Regions from separate parts of the Mus musculus genome. Here all the other regions are reported to be linked to region 1. Evidence: microRNA targets listed by miRTarBase, many of them from high-throughput screens and not tested one by one. Region 1 holds a microRNA gene; each other region holds the end of a gene's coding sequence.

Region 1 (4,066 bases):
GGTCTTGATGTGGATCTAGGGGTCAGAGATGAAGAGTCAGGTAGACGGGGTTGGTTTGGGTAGGACAGGATCAGGGGTGACGGGGTCAGGTGACTCCCACGCACTTCTCTTGTCTCTGTGAGCAGCTGGATGATGCGCGCATGGGGCATAGCCACCACGCTCTGCCCGTTGACCTCAATGATGCGGTGTCCAACGCGGACTCCACCACGCTCAGCAGCGCCCCCACGCAGCAGGCTACAAATCTGAGGGGGGACAACTCTCAGGACCTGCCCCTAGGCTATAGGCTAGCCTCCACTCCCTAGGCTGTATGCTAGCCCATTCCCCACACCCGGCCTAGGGGGGGGGGGTTCCCAGCCTCACGATTCCATCCTCCACACAGAAGCCCAGCTGCTCGCGCACGTGGGGCCGGCGGATGACGGCCGTGGTGACCGGTGGGCAGTGGATAATACTCAGCGTCACGGATGAAAGTCGCCGCACCTCCTGGGGGGACCCACCATGCTGCTCAGGCCTCTGCGGGCATCAGTTTACCCACCCGTCAATCTCCCAGGCAACATGGGGATGCAATCAGTGGTACCATACAGTCACTTAACTTAGGAGACCCTGTTAATGGGCTCCTATGCACCCTACAAGGCCCCTGGGAACCCCGCCCACAGAACTTTGACTCACGCGCACCGCAGCCTGGCAGGCAGCCAGCGACAGCCCCACCAGGCTGGTTCCATTGATGGCAGTGACGCGGTCCCCTATGCTCAGGGCCCCGCAGCGCTCGGCAGGGCCCCCATGGAGCAGGTTGGCAATGACCGCAGTGGGCAGTAGCGAGCCCCAGCCTGATTCAACTAGCGCGACGCCCAGGCCTTCACCTGGCCGCTTCTGGATGCAAACCTGGGAGCAGAACCAAGTTCAGGGGGCAGGGTGTGGGGTGGGGTCCCAGGAGGGGCAGGACCACATTCAGGGGCAGTGTGGGAGAAGCTGCACTTAGAGATAGAGCAGGCAGAGCCAAGCCAGGTGTAGGGAGGGCTCAACTTCGGGGAGGGGGGCAGGGTCCCATTCAGGGGAAGTGTGGGATCAGGCCCAATGCGGGTGTGCTCAGGGAGGGGGTGGGGTCTCAAAGGGGGCGGGGCCGTGTCCAGGGAGTATGGGGCCAGGTCTCGGTGGGGTGGGCTCAGCAGGCCAGGGGATAGGTCCATGGTCCCTTGGGTGGCTCTGTGTGTGCTGTGGCAGAGCAAGCACTCACCTCCCTACAGTTCTGGCTGTTGCAGAAGTGGTCCAGGTCGCCGTTGTGCGGGTGGCTGGCAGCGGTTGAGGGCTGCGTGCCCACCTGGCTGGGGTCGATCCTGTTCTCCTGTAGGAACTGGCTGTAGGCGATGCTGAAGGCCTGGCCGATGGCTTGTGCTATGAGCTGGGCCTGTGGGAGGACAATATACTCCTAATCCATCCCGCAGAATCTCAGCTCCAATGCACACACCTTCAGGACACCTCAAGGTTTCTAAGTCAAGGGTTCTTAGATGCTCTGGAGGGGGCGTAGCTCACGGCTGCTCACATCCTCTGAGTGGAAGACATGGCACAGCATCTTGTAGAGTCGCCGCTGGCGGTCCTGGGGAGTTGTCCTCCTGGCCAGCCGCCTCCGGGCCATCAAGACCAGTACAGGCCCAATGTCTGCGATGTAGGAGATGGTCTGCAGGGCATGGTCCATCAGGGCATCCTGTGGACATGCGCTGGGTGGGCTGGGGGCCTCTCAGGAACCCCAAGTGTCCACGACAGTCAAGGCCCAGCCCTCTGGGTACCTGGGAGTCAGCAGCCAACACTTTGACACGCTTGGTGGAGATAAAGATGTCCACTTCCACCATGGGCTGGGTCTCGCCTTCAGGGGCCTGCAGGGTAGGAAGGGGACACAGAAGTTAGAGGTGGTTGGGACATGGAATCCAACAGCCCAGGAACTCCACCCTGGCTCACCTTGACGCGGTCCATGGCCTCCTGCGCCTGCCCCATGCGTGTGCTGGGCGCCGGGCTGCGCTCTGACAGCAGCTGGGTGGAGCCCAGGTATTTCGCCCCGAAGATGACACCATCCATGAGCTCCTCCGGCCCACAGGGACCTGGGACTGCAGATGACAGTGAGGGGTGCGACCTCTACAGGCTCTGAGGTCCCCAATCCCTGAGCTGTTGCTCAAGAAACTCATGGTTCTGTCCACGGCTTAGCATGCACAAGATCCTGTACTAGAAGACTCCAGAGGCTCAGTGTGCGGTGGCCAGCTCTGTACCTGCCACTTTCAGGGATCCTAAGAAGTGTCACCCCTACTATGAGGCACCCTCAGGAGGAATGGACCCAAAACAGGTTGCAGGGCTCAAAGACCCCTCTTCCAGAACCTTCTGACCAAGAGTCAGAGCTCAGGGCCTCACGGTGGTGTCGTGAGTCCCTAACATTCTGGAATCAGGCAGGGCAGGGCCAGCAATTTAGCTCAATGGGTAAAGGCATTTTCAGCCAAGTAAGATACCCTGAGTTTGATCCCTGGGATACCACAAGGTGGGCAGAGAACTAACTCCCACAAGTGATCCTCTGCCATATTCGATAAATGCAAAAAAAAAAGACAGAAGATCAAGGCCGGGCGTGGTGGCACACGCCTTTAATCCCAGCACTTGGGAGGCAGAGGCAGGCGGATCTCTGAGTTCAAGGCCAGCCTGGTCTACAGAGTGAGTTCCAGGACAGCCAGGGCTACACAGAGAAACCAAAAATAACCAAAAGAAAAAGAAATAAGATAAAAATCCATGATGATCTAGAATTCTCTTCAGTCAGCCTGGAGCGTCTCAAAGTCTGGGTCCTCGATAGCCCTGAAACAATCCCACCCATGAATATTTATTTATTTATTTATTGTTTTTTTTCGAGACAGGGTTTCTCTGTATAGCCCTGGCTGTCCTGGAACTCTCTCTGTAGACCAGGCTGGCCTCAAACTAAGAAATCCTCCTGCCTCTGCCTCCCAGGTGCTGGGATTAAAGGCGTGTACCACCACTGCTTGGCTTTTTTTAAAAAGATATATACATATATATGCATATATATATGTATTATATATATAATAATAAGTAAGTACACTGTAGCTGTCTTCAGACACACCAGAAGAGGGATTCAGATCTCATTACTGGTGGTTGTGAGCCACCATGTGGTTGCTGGGATTTGAACTCAGGACCTTTGGAAGAGCAGTCAGTGCTCTTACCCACTGAGCCATCTCGCCAGCCCTGTAAATGCCATCTTTAGCTCTCAAAACTCCCCAGAGCAGCCTGGAGCTATCCTCTGTCAACCAGTGTGCTAAACCAGCATGGCTTCTAGAACATTCTACAGCTTATGTCACCTCTTTGGCCGTCTAAGATCTGCTCTCATTCAGTCCTCTCTAGACCTTGATCATCACTGGCAAACTTTGTGTCATTACTTGAGAGCCCATTTTTGGGCTGTTCTAGGACATTCTGATTTCTGTGTAAAAATGGACACTCACCCTCGGTGACGGCAGGGCACGAGGCCAGGGTCTCCCGGCTCTGGAAGATAAGAGGTGCAGGGCTGAGTCCCCAGTCATGGCTGAGGGTCAGAAGTCAGAGGTCAGAGAGGCGAGCACTATTACCTGGGTACCCACAGGTGGTTCCTGCTGTGTCACCAGGGGTGCTGTCTCCAGCCAGGGCTCCGGGGAACTGCTGGAGCTCCTGCTGTCTGCTGGCTCTGCTGATGCCCCTTCCATCCATCCCGGGTCCCCATCAGGGTCCTCTGGCGGCTGCAGAAGGCGGGGTGCAGTCTGTGCAGGATCTTGGGGGACAGATTGGGCAGGCGAAGAGGCCTCATCCCTCAGCAGACCCAGAAGGTCGTCCCCGCCTGCCTCGGCCGACAAGAGCCCACCAGCATCTGGGTTCTCCTGGGTGGCAAGTCCTTGGCCGGTAGCAATGTGCAGGGGACAGGGGGCTCCATCTGGGAATGGGCCACCCAGGTCGCTGGGTAGAGCTTCTAGCTGCTGAACCAGCTCCTGCACACTGGATGTGTCCAGCTCCATCTCACTCAGGGTGACAGGGCCTCCAGGCCCTAAGGCCGACTGGG
Region 2 (4,066 bases), not on the chromosome of region 1:
AGCACTGGGCGATGGTAAGCTTTGCCAGGCCACATCTCCAGGTTGCTCATTTCAACGTGCTGAGGGTGATGCTGGGGGTATAGATAGTATATAGTATGTCCTCTCACCCAGGCCTGGAAATGCCAGCCAGCCCCTTCAGCAGAAAGGTCAGCGATGGGAGATTATTGAGCTACCTATGATTTTCGCCTCCGATACAGAATGGAGACCCCAATTCTCAACTGGCTAGGATGTCTTGACCAAGTCATCTCCAGGAGACTGTAAATGATCTGGGAGGAATAAAGTTTCTACCTTTGGGGGCTTGTGTTTCTTCTTTTAAAGGTTTTTATTTTTCTTTCTTAAAATCTAAAGGAAACTAAGGCAATCATTGACCCCCCCCCCCAAAAAAAAAAAGCACAGTACAAATGATTCTTTGGTTTTAATTTCAGGAGACGACCGAAATATTGAGGAGGTTTATGTGGGTGGAAAGCAGGTCGTTCCATTCTCCAGCTCAGTGTAAGGACCTTGGACATCTGCGACATTCTCCTGGGAAGACATGATTCCGCCATCTTCCTTGTGCCCAGGGACCAATCAGAAAGTATATTTACAAAAAAGTACCGTGTTCTTTGGATGACTTCTGTTCCTGTGTCTCCTTCCAGTGCCCACTTGGTAAATTGTTTGAAGGGAGTGCGCTGCTTCTCCACTCCAGTCTGGGAGCATTGTAATTTCATGACAGTGCCTCCCATTGGGCTGTTTAGATTTGCATTGTGCTCGCACAGAAGACATTGTTAACAGCTGGCAATGCGCTTCCAATAGTGAAGTAAAACGTTTCCATATAGGGAAATACAGGACGAGGAGATCTCCCTATGTGGCTAGACACTCTGTGCTAATGACTAAGAAAATTAGGAAACTCCAGTATGGACCAATGAGCAGATTTTTATGAGAGGGCACAAGCTAGACATTGAAAAGACATTGGAAAAGTCATTGGTTGTGCTTGGAAATTTAATATAGAGAACAGTCTCGTAAAAGGAGAACCTACTGGATTTAAAACATGCTTCTAGATCGACATTGTCTATGGACATTTGCACTTTGTGAAATTTGCATTTCAGGATGTGTTATTGTTATGCTTTCCCTTCTTGGGATGAATGTCAGAACCTGAATGCCACACGCTTTTCAAATATAGTTCTATGCTTCAAAGTGTTCGGCAGAAGTTGAGTATTAAAGATTTAAAGTCTCTTAGGGATAGTATTCACATAGCCGCAAGGCATAAATAGTTGTGTTTTTTTGTGTGTGTGTGTACTTCAAAGTCATCTTGATTCCTGGCTGTGAGGTGTTCCAGTTGCTTCTGTTTTATTAGATGAGAAACAAGCCCTGTGTGTTGCTGCTCTGTAGACTGGAGTTTTCATAAATCGGGGAAGTACTATATTCCCCGGAGTTGGTGACACTGAGGGGACAGGGTTCTTTGCAATGCTGAATCTACCCAACGCATAATCATTGCTGTACAGTTCACCCTCCTATCAATGTGCTAGAACTTAAAAGCCAAGTGCAAGTCCCTAAAGCATTATGGATAAGGCTCTGCAAGGCCAGTATACTGAAAGAGCTCTGTGTGTGTTTGTTTGTTTGTTCGTTTGTTTTAATTTACCAAATTGTCATTGTAATTCTTGAAGATTTTTCTGGCATTAAAATCTTAGAATAGTGAAAAGGATATAAAAATTCCATCTAATGTTTATATTTCTAGGACTTACCTGTACTAGACATCAAGGAATATTAAACAAAAGAGGGCCTTTTAGCTTTTCTAACGTATATGGTGTCCCTTCTCATATTAGAACTAAAACCAGGTCATAACCACGTGGCAGAGCTTTAGGAAACAGTGATGTGTATTCTACTTAAATACTACATTTTTCTTAATTAATTCCACCTCCTATAAACAAGCAAGGGCCAGGAACAGGTTTTATTAACATATATTTCACTCCTAGGGTTTAGGTGAGTTTCCATTGTATCTTATAACAGAGAAACCCATTAGGCAGTAGTTAGTTCTCACATCTAAGAACACACAGTTCTTCTGTTCTCTATGCTAACTCAGCAGTAACTTGTCCAGATCTATTTTCCTGGTAGAAGCACTTTTAGATCTGGTGTGTATACATTATATCTCAAGATGGTACACATTTAGGTCGTACTTTGTTTTATTTTGAGAGAGAAAGAGAGAGAGAGAGAGAGAGAGAGAGAGAGAGAGAGAGAGAGAGAGAGAGAGAGAGAGAGAGAATTTGTTTTGTGGGATATCGGTGAGTAAATCCAACCCCTGGCTTTAGTCTGCATGTCCAGCATTGCTAGCACATCAGAAATATCAAAATGAGCTGCCAGATTCCCCTCTCCCATTTCTCTCTGAGGCTGGCAACTGTTTAGGCTGTCTGTTTTGACTCTTGCCAAAGGGTTTACAGACCCCACACTTGTCCTCTTGAAGGGTGTGCATTTTGATGTTGAACATCAGCTTTTATTTAAACTTAAGACTCACATGCAGTAATATAGGCAAATGTAATTCTGGAAGCAGGAATAGCAGTGGTAATGTAACACCATCCTGTTGAGATTCAGATTAGTCCTGATAATGTGCTGCCAGTTGAATTACTTCTAATAAAAATAAGGTGTTGAAGTGTTTACATGTACTTTGAGTACTTTGATCTCCCTGCACTTATATGTGTTTTAGTTCCCCAAGTGAAGTGTTCATGAATGTTACCTATGCTTGTTTGAGTGTCCCACACATAGGGCCAGATATCCTGCACTTGGAAATGCTGCGCTCACCTAATAACGTAGGTTGACTTTCCTAATTATGGATAGGCACTGTTCCAAGCCTATCCCAGTTGTCACTTTATGTTTGAATGGTTTGCTCTCTGTAGAAGAAAGGAAAAGAGAAACAGAGAGAGAGGGGATGGGAGGGAGGGAGAGAGGAAGGGGGAGAAGGAAGGAAGGAAGGAAGGAAGGAAGGAAGGAAGGAAGGAAGGAAGGAAGGTTGTCCTGCCTATTCCATACCATTTGAATAATTTCTTTAGAGTTTTTGATGGACTTCATTGTAAAAGGTTAGAAGGCATTAAAAGTTATCATGTGTGTTATATTTATAACATATTCTTGCAGCCAAAACACAAAAGTAGACTAACCAAGTTGAATTTGATTTAAAAAAACAAAAAGGCAGGGAGGGATCAGGGGCATTAAAAATAAGAGGTTAGAACCTAAGAAGTCATCCTTATCTACAGGGCCAAAGGGGCTGGATTCCTCTGTTGTGTTATCTTACCTGGTTCTTTACTTACACTGTCAAAGACTTCACAGTCCCAGAGGGTATGCCAGGAGGGGGCCTTTCTAAATGAATCCTGTGAACACTGCATTTCTTTGCTTCTTTAGTGAAAAACATTTCAAGACAAATGAAAGGAAATGATAAAAAAAAAAAAAAAACCTCTTCATTGCTTTGCTGATTTTGAGGTATGCCCTCAAATATCCCCCAAAGCAAACAGAGGCAACATGAGTGCCAGATCTGGCAATATGTTCTAAATCTTCACTCTCTACCAGATAATTTCTATTTTTAAGCTCTTTCCCTTTGGAAGCAGACACATGAGAAGCCTTCCAGGCACACTGGGATGCACATTGTACCCGTTCCATCAGTGTGCATATGTGGAAGATACCCAGAACTCCGTGCTTCTGCAGCCTAGTGGACATCTTTTAAGGTTGCTGTTGCTGGACTATTCAAATATTTGAAAAGAGTCATCTTAGCTGTTAACAGGTAGAAGGAGACATGTATCCTGGGCAATGACTCAAAATAAATCTTAAATTACAGGGACTCTATGATACATTAAAAAAAATTAAAAGACCAAAAAGAGATGTTTGCCATTTCTAATCTCCTAGCTGCTGCATGTATGATTTTGCACAATACACTTTATAATGTCGTGGGAAGAAGCAGACAGGGGAGAGGTCACTGAGAGAAAACTCTTGATATTCGTTACCACGCATGTTTTAAAGTCTACCCCACCTTCCTGCCCATCTCCAGCACTGAGATGCAGTGTTGTGGGCCTAGTCCATGTTTAGTGAAATGCAATGTCAAGAAAGT
Region 3 (4,066 bases), not on the chromosome of region 1:
CGGCTGGTGCAAGTTTTATTGAGACAATGTACAAACAGGCCATGGAAACAAGGGTTTTGATGCTGGGACCAGTAACGCAAAATGGAATACAAAAATAAAAAGGCACTAATCTGTTAAGAAAAGACACTCAATGTATTCTAAGAATATAAGTCATTTAATACTGTTAATTTTATAGCACAAAATAAAACAAGCTATGATCCCCAAAAATAATTTTAAAAGCTTACACAGAAAATATTATTGCCTGATGCTTATGTTCTTTAAGTTATACACGTCAAAAGAGTTTTATGTCATTTTAAAACACACAGTGAAGACCGTCTAGAAGCAAGGCCACTGTCCTCCTGTCTCAGAACTGTCCTCCTGCTCCTTCAGAATATACAAGCAGCTCAGCGTCCACGCTCACAGCAGTTAACCAGGGAGGGGTTCACTGGTTCCAGAGTGAGGAGTCCACAGAAAGCATTAGTCTTAGGTACTGTGTTAAAACAATCAAGAATTCACTCATTTTAAGAGGTTAATGAACATAATATTAAAAGATTAAATTATGAACACCTGGAACAAAAACACATCATCCCTTTTTTTTTTTTTAAATGCTCATTATTCTTTTGAGTAAAGGTTACAAGAGCAGTGGCCATCAGTCTTGGCCCATCTTGTCTGTAAACAGCTGTAGAGGAAGGCTGGCACAGTGCCAGGATCGTGCAACTTGAAAAGAGGGCAGAGTCTCTTCCAGTGAGCACAGAGGGTTACGTCTGGATGACAAAAGCCAGGACACCCTGTCAACCTCGAAACAGGTGGCATCAGAGCAGTGCAGAGTGACAAGCATGCCTTCTGTATGGGGTTGGAGGTGGAGGTGGGGGGCTGTCACCCAGGACTAACTAGCCCTTAAAGCCCTCAACTACCTAATTGTTTCCTTCTCAGATACAACAGCCATAGCAAGTGGGTTTATCATCCCAGTACTTTCTACAACATGGCAGAGCAGACCACACAGCACTGATGATGAGAAAAGGAAGCCTCCATCGTACTCCCCTGAAACCAAGGGTCTTCCCAGAAGAGTGGGACTTGGGGAAGATGCTGCTTTCTATCAGTGAGAGAGATTTCCATGATTAAAAATCGATGAGCTTCTAAGTCAGAGAATTACTATTGTTGGCACGCACGCACGTATCCTGAGAGTTCAGAAAGTTAAGTCTTTATTTTGAGATCTGGATCTCTGAGGAAGCTGCATAGACATTTACATGTGCCAAATTAACTGATTACATAAAGCAAACTCCAGGGTTATGGGACATTCTGATCATGAAGTATTCCTTAGAGTCTTGCTGGTCAACAGTCTTGGGAAAAGGGAAACCCTGTTCTCAAAAATGGCTGTTTATGCTAAGCAAGGTGCTATAATCAAAAGGCACCAAGCCCTTCAGTTAAATGTAGTTTTAAAAGACCTTAAGAGCTGGGTGTGGTGACTCAAACCTTTATAATTTCAGCTGAGGCTGGGATGGAAATCTTGAAGCCAGCATGGGCAATTTATAGAGATCCCATCTCGGATTTCAAAAGCTTACTGGCAGCCGGTTATCTAGCACGTGTAAGGCATGAGGTTCAGGCCCCAGTGATGGGGTATCCCTTGGGGGTTGTGCCCTCAGTGAACAAGGTGTGTATTCCAGTGGAGACATCAAAGGCCTGGGGCTAAACTGTGTAACTGGCCAGAAGGCAAGTCTTAAATCTTGATTTAGGCAGAGTCTGGGGCCTGAACACTTAAGTCCACTCAATAGGTCTGGCTAGAAATGGCAGCTTTCAGAGACAAAAAGAAGTAACCTCTACAGACGTGACACTCCCCATACCCCAAATGACCATTACTTTGTCACATGAACATTCTTTACTATAGAACTTAGCCTGATGGACTACTGATTTAAAGAGAAACTAATGGGGCTCAAGAAATGGCTCAGTGGTTAAGGTCTTCTTGCAGAGGACCCAGGTTCAATTCCTAGAACCCACAGAGTAACTCCACAGTTCCAGAGGATCCAACCAACACCCTTTTCTGGCCTCCTAACAAACTACCCATGTGATACACATACATACATGTAGTGGAAACACCCATATACAGTTTTTTTTGGGGGGAGGTCTGAGGGGGGGATTGGGCCATCTTCTGATACAAGGTATGTATGTAGGCCTGCCTGTCCTGTGACACACTACATAGATCAGGATAGCCTTGAACTCTCAGAGATCCACTTGCCTTTGCCTTTCTGAGTACTGGGATTAAAGGTGTGTCCACCATGCCCAACATAAACAAAAATTTAAAGTCTTTAAGAGAAATAAATATAGTGGACAAAGGGTTTTGTTGGTTTTGTCACCTGAATATGTTCCATTAGTTCTCAAAGCCTCAGGCCTGCAGAACCAGGGCCATGGTTACAGAAGATATTCTGTAAATGCTAGAGCTGCTCACTAGCCACTACTCCATCTCTAGGTCTGCTACGTTCGTTCTGTGTGGAGGTGTATCCTCATCAGGGTCCAACTGAAAAGAGTGCACTCTAGAAAGGTTCTAGAGCTCTGGTTTGCCATGTGTGGATGAGGGATCAGACACATATCTGTAGTAGCTGACATGCAAGGAAAAATGGCTCATGATCGAGGGGCGTCTTCTTTTGCTCAGAAGCACTGTATTCTGGTTCTACTCAGGCTGTGGAACCAGAACAGACACCACTCTCAAGCTGCCTGGACAAGCTAGGTCAGTACAGGAAGGGCTGGGTGGCCTCTGTGGTGGAACACAGCAATGCAATTTAACTCACGGATCTAGTAAGCCCACAGACTTCAAACGTTTTCACTGAAGAGGCCCACCCTGTCTGCTCCTGTCAGAGGCAGCGATGACAGCAGGCCCACCCCCACCTTGGTGCTTCACAGCAAGGTACACCATGACTGCTGCTGTGCACTGTTTGCCACATGGTAAACAAGGTACTGTGGCAACCAAAAGATAAAGGCCCCTGGAGGGGGTCTTTTCCTATTTTAGTTACGTACAGTGGCTTCAGTTTGGAAGCTCAGAGACATGGATTGTTCCTTAGACCATCATAGACCAACCTACTATTTAAAAATCTGTTCAGAACACACAACTATAATTAATTAGTCTTCCAAAAAACAAAACTAAACAAAAGAAAATGAAAACCAGCCAGACTTGAGGAGTTCGGGACAGAATTGTCTGGAGTTTTACTTCCTCTGTCGTCCAAAGAAAACTGAGTTGGTGGCAAAACCACTGTTCTGTGGACCAGCAAAGCGAGACCTTGCCAAGCCTCACCGTCTCCATGCAGACCATCAGCAGGCTTGCTTGCTCTCTCTGTCAGCCTCCAGTACAAACAAGGCAGTGATGGATGGGAAGGAAGAGCTGCTCTGGGTTCCAGTCTCTACTGTGTGCTTCCACCAGTGTTTCCAGTTCACAATCCACAAGAACTCTAAATCAGCTACTCTTTGACAGCATGACTATGATACAAATGCCGAGCCAGCGAGCAAGGCAGCTGCTGAGGCATTCCGTATGTGCAGGGACTGCCAATGTATGGAAAGCTGACCGCCAGCAGCTCGGTGTAACTTGCATGTGACAGAGTGCTTCCCACTTCAAAGGAGACTGACAGGCAGAAGGAGGCAGCAGCAGGGACAGCACAGCAATCACTCGTTGTCATCGGGGTTCTGAGGGTCAAAGATTTTAACATGTGTGAAGGGGAAAAGCCCCTTGCGCCCATTCACCTCGCCTTCCCATTGGCCATTGATATTCATCCTTGTGACTTTCACAATGTCACCAACCTGTAAGGGAAGAGGGAAAGAAAACAAAATTAGCATCACTACAAACAAGGAAGACAGTTTACATTAAATCACAAACACTGTCTATACAAAAATCAAGTAGTACAAAGACACGAGATGCCACCAACCACCCAGGATACCTGTCGCTGGCAAAAACTCAGGAAGCAGCCTCTGAACACAGAGCAGCCACTCCCTCCAGCGTTACTAATAAATGGACATGTATGAGCATCCAACTCTAAGAACGTGCATGTTAAGCTGAATAAAAGGGTAAGAAGTGCGGACTGGTGGCACATACCTTCAATCCCAG
Region 4 (4,066 bases), not on the chromosome of region 1:
TTCACCGGTCTCTCCATGACCACCATCAGCCATTGGCTGGCCAATGTGAAGTACCAACTTCGAAGGACAGGTGGAACAAAGTTCCTCAAAAACTTGGACACTGGACACCCAGTGTTCTTTTGTAACGACTGTGCGTCACAAATCAGGACTCCTTCCACGTACATCAGCCACCTAGAGTCACATCTGGGCTTCCGGCTACGGGACTTATCAAAATTGTCCACCGAACAGATTAACAATCAAATAGCACAAACCAAGTCGCCGTCTGAAAAACTGGTGACATCCTCCCCGGAGGAGGATCTGGGGACCACCTACCAGTGCAAACTTTGTAATCGGACCTTTGCGAGCAAGCATGCTGTTAAACTTCACCTTAGCAAAACCCACGGGAAATCACCGGAAGACCACCTCCTGTTCGTTTCTGAATTGGAGAAGCAGTAGCGTTTGCTCCAGAGCGGAAATGACTGGAGGAGAAAATGCTGAAGGCACCTTAAAGCCCCTCTCTGTCTTGTTCTTGGCACACGTTCTTATGTTCACTGCAGAGGATTGTTCTGGGCTGGACTGTTCGGTCTAACTGTACAGTGTTTAATAGAGAGGTGCATATAATCAGCTGTTGTTACTGGTAAAATAACGAAGGTTAAAACGCAGTGCTAAGTGTTTGGAACTTTGTGTAAATGGGATTTAATTGTGAGCATCCCCTCGATGCTTCAAGCTGCATGCATTAACAGACGGTTTAATTAAGCATTTATAAGGAAACCAGGCACACTTTTTCCATGAGACTTGGGTGTGCTGGCATTTCCCACCCTTTCATCTTTAGCCCTCTGAGTACTACGAAGCACTTTTGCATTAATTTGGTTAATAAAAAAAAGATAATAATAAAACAAAATAATAATGAATAATAATAATGTATGAAACTCTGTTTTTAAAACTCGTTACCAGCTTAGTTATAAGGAATATTAGGAACCTCCATTTATGCAGGGGTATGACACGCCTTGAAATTTAAAAGAATATTATTTTCACATTGAAACATAGATGTATATATTGTATAGATTTCAAACTCTTATGGGAAAATGTGACTGGTTAAATGACCCTTTCTTTCTTGCATTTATAACAAGTGTTTTATGTATCTGCTATACTCTGGGCACAAGCCATGCCTCTGTATAGTGTATATTTCCTTATCTTTTTCTTTTTTTTTAAGGTTTATGGTTTTTTTTTTACATGCAAACATTGTAAATTATACAGAAAATACCACAGATAGCATTTATAAAATATACAGAAGCATTATCTCAAAGCAAGGTATGATGTTTGTTTTGCTATACGGCACATCTATATTGATAGAGGGTTCATGTTTAAATTATACATATTTATTAGCATTCTATTATCATTTGTTTTGAGGTCAGGAAATCCATCCCTGGCAGGCATCATAACTATTTTGCACATGGTTCTTAAAGGTATTTATTAGAAATTAAAGGATGCTCAAAGTAAACTCAGTGCTCAAAGGGTTAAGTCTATTCGAAAAGGAAAAAAAAAGATTAAAAAAAAAAACCCAACTTGTACTGTATTTCCTGAACATTGATAAAGCCTTTAAAATGTTTGTACTGTAATCCTTTGCTTAAAAGTCAAGAGTCGTTCTGTGGGACAGCCCCTTCACTTATTTATAAGCCCTCTCGGTTGCTAGTTCATAATGTGGGATTTTTTTCCCTTTCTCTTTTTTCTTTTCTTTTCTTTCTTTCTTTCTTTTTTTTTTTTTTTAATTTCAATCGGTAACTTTGTTTTGTTCCTCCTAATTATTCTCCCAAGATCCCACACTGCAGTTTTATCTTTAGGCTTATGAAAGGTAACCCGTGGTAACCGGCTCTCCAAGCCATTCTTGTCTCCATTTCTGGCAGTTAATTTGCAGAAATAACTGACAGCTGACACCATATGAGAACCTATGTATAAAATATTGGCATGTAAACACCACAGACACCGTGACACACTCTGTGCCCTGTTTTGTTGTTGACGATGGCACACCATGATGTGACTCTTCATATAACCCTTTTTTTCTACGGCAGCATTAAAATTGTCTTTTTGCTATAATTTTGTGTTGCGTTCACAATTATGTCTGAGATGTGCTACGACTAACGAGCACATTAAAATTAAATTGTATGCGATCTGTTTATGACTGACTCGGTTGCTGTGTCTGCCAGGTGCTGGCAGTTGGAGGCTGCGCGTAAATCAGGGGGAGTTTTAGTGAACTTTGGTGTTTATAAAGAACTCTCGGAGGCTTGTATAGCATTTCCCTCAGGAATAAAAATTGGAAAGACATCAGAGATGCACATGAGGCTAAACCCCTGTGGGCAAGGAATGTCGTAATAAAGTCTCCACTGTCAGAGCCTCAGTCAGGTCACGCTGGATACCTCTCCTGGGTGGCTCTGGTGTCCTTTCTGGATGCCCCATAGTGTTCCTGGGCTGAAGGGTCTTAAGAAGACTCTGTACATAATGGCTCATTCTTGCTAACTTAAGATTTTCCAAGGGGAAAGTAGAGAGGACCCACGTATTCAGACTTAGGGGTCATCTGTTCTTCCCAAGTTAAAGCAAGCAGAGACAACCAGGTTGGGTAGGGATTGGGAGGAGTTCGGACCCATCCATGGCAGGGGTGGGGGGTAGGTAGGGGGAAGGGGAGAGGAGTAGGAAGGAAGCATTTATATGATAATCACAAGCTTTTATTGGCCCTGGCAAATCACTCCAACAAAATGCTGAGAACATCATGTAGAACTGTAAAATACCTTTATTACTATATTGAAGCTAGTCTTGCAGTTAGGCAGAACCAGAGCTCCTAACCTAGAATTATACAAATGAGAGATGCGATACACCCATGTAATACATAAAACACCTCAACTTGAAGGAAGAAAAGATACTCTTTTATTAAAAATTTAAATTAAGCCCTTTCAAAAATGTTCGGCAACACGCCTACGGGTTTTTCCCTCTCCCCACCCCTTTTTGTCAAGACAAGTCCAAATGTGCCATCTACTCTGTTTTCTTAGCAATCCCCCCCTCCCTCTCTCTGGTTTTGGAAAGAACTCTGCTGGAGTTTAAAATGGGTGTCTGGCAGGTAGTGACACAGGGACTCTACTCCAGCCTTGTGACTTGGGGCACACAGGTAAGGCACAGCCTCAGGATTGTCGGCCTCTGGGTCCAAGGTCTGCCCTGCTCTCTGCCTCCAGTGTGATCAACCCATGTCTTTCTCTCTAAGGCCCTCTACCCGGAGGAAGCTGAGGGTTGTTATATTCTACCAGGATACCTGCTACCGTCCTAGAACCTGGCTCAGGAGACAGAGACCCCCCCTCCCCGCTGTGCTTTCTGCATCTTTGCATCCTGAAGCCCAGATTTCCACTCTTGAATTTTTCACAGGTTAAATATAGCATCGGTTTATTAGAATCCAAAGTCCTGCATCTAACAGATTAAACTGACAACACTCTCGTCATCACCAGGGCCCATGTGGCTTGAAGGGAGAGGGGATTTGTGTGAGTGATGGTGGAGCCCCCCTCTTCACAGTTGAGAAGGACCCAACACTCTGAGAAATCCTCCTCCCCCTCCCCCAGGATTATTATCAGGGCTGTTCAATTTGGGGGGAGACATGGAGATTGATAGCCAAGGTGGGTAGTGAGTTACACACTCAGTTGTGCCTTGGACTCAGCCTGCTGGTACTAATGGAAACCCTAAATTAATTCTACCCCCAGGGAAGTATTAGTAAGGAGAGCTATTGAATGCAAACCTCTTTGTAAAAGAGAGTCTTCTTAGCATTGGGAAGTGGACCACTTTCCTCTAAACCACTAAACCCTCGCCTTGCAACAGGGTAGGCAATATGCAAGAATACTACCAGATCATAGCCCGTTAGGGCCCCAAATCAAGAAGGACCATCCAGAGGAAATACCAAGTCTACTGTTGACCACTTAGTCTATGGCTGATGTGAACAGAGAAGGAGAGTAAATGGTGAGATTGGTGTCCAAGGAGGCCTGCAAATGGCTCTTGGAGGGATGGTGGATTCACAGAGGGAGGGGGCTTTAATCACAGGTGCGCAGGTGACCCT

The links. The annotated mature microRNA mmu-miR-3057-3p reads UCCCACAGGCCCAGCUCAUAGC and lies in region 1 at 1,389-1,410, opposite strand. An mRNA with a match to its seed (bases 2 to 7 or 8) in the 3' UTR can be bound and repressed. Matches are read on the target gene's strand: a 7mer-m8 pairs with bases 2 to 8, a 7mer-A1 pairs with bases 2 to 7 and ends in A, and an 8mer does both.
Region 2: the mRNA of Gda is a reported target of mmu-miR-3057-3p. Seed matches in the 3' UTR shown: 7mer-A1 at 2,247-2,253.
Region 3: the mRNA of Crkl is a reported target of mmu-miR-3057-3p. Seed matches in the 3' UTR shown: 7mer-m8 at 2,775-2,781 and 7mer-m8 at 1,970-1,976.
Region 4: miRTarBase lists Tshz3 as a target of mmu-miR-3057-3p. Seed matches in the 3' UTR shown: 8mer at 1,626-1,633 and 7mer-A1 at 1,680-1,686.

Annotation. Positions count from the first base shown.
Region 1 is chr10:81,268,998-81,273,063 of GRCm38, reverse strand. Mir3057 (microRNA 3057) reads right to left here and starts at 1,467; the gene lies at 1,377-1,467. Apba3 (amyloid beta (A4) precursor protein-binding, family A, member 3) reads right to left here. Exons shown (of 11, transcript NM_018758.2): 2 at 3,603-4,066; 3 at 3,480-3,519; 4 at 1,951-2,096; 5 at 1,782-1,868; 6 at 1,538-1,699; 7 at 1,232-1,402; 8 at 667-879; 9 at 361-480; 10 at 105-242; 11 at 1-15.
Region 2 is chr19:21,391,618-21,395,683 of GRCm38, reverse strand. Gda (guanine deaminase) reads left to right here. Exons shown (of 14, transcript NM_010266.2): 14 at 426-4,066. The coding sequence ends at 496. Among named protein-coding and RNA genes, the nearest start is that of Gda, 79 kb to the left of the region's middle.
Region 3 is chr16:17,483,357-17,487,422 of GRCm38, reverse strand. It overlaps Crkl (v-crk avian sarcoma virus CT10 oncogene homolog-like), which reads right to left. Exons shown (of 3, transcript NM_007764.5): 3 at 1-3,762. The coding sequence ends at 3,628. Among named protein-coding and RNA genes, the nearest start is that of Aifm3, 6.5 kb to the left of the region's middle.
Region 4 is chr7:36,771,399-36,775,464 of GRCm38, forward strand. Tshz3 (teashirt zinc finger family member 3) reads left to right here. Exons shown (of 2, transcript NM_172298.3): 2 at 1-2,155. The coding sequence ends at 435. Among named protein-coding and RNA genes, the nearest start is that of Gm36722, 75 kb to the left of the region's middle.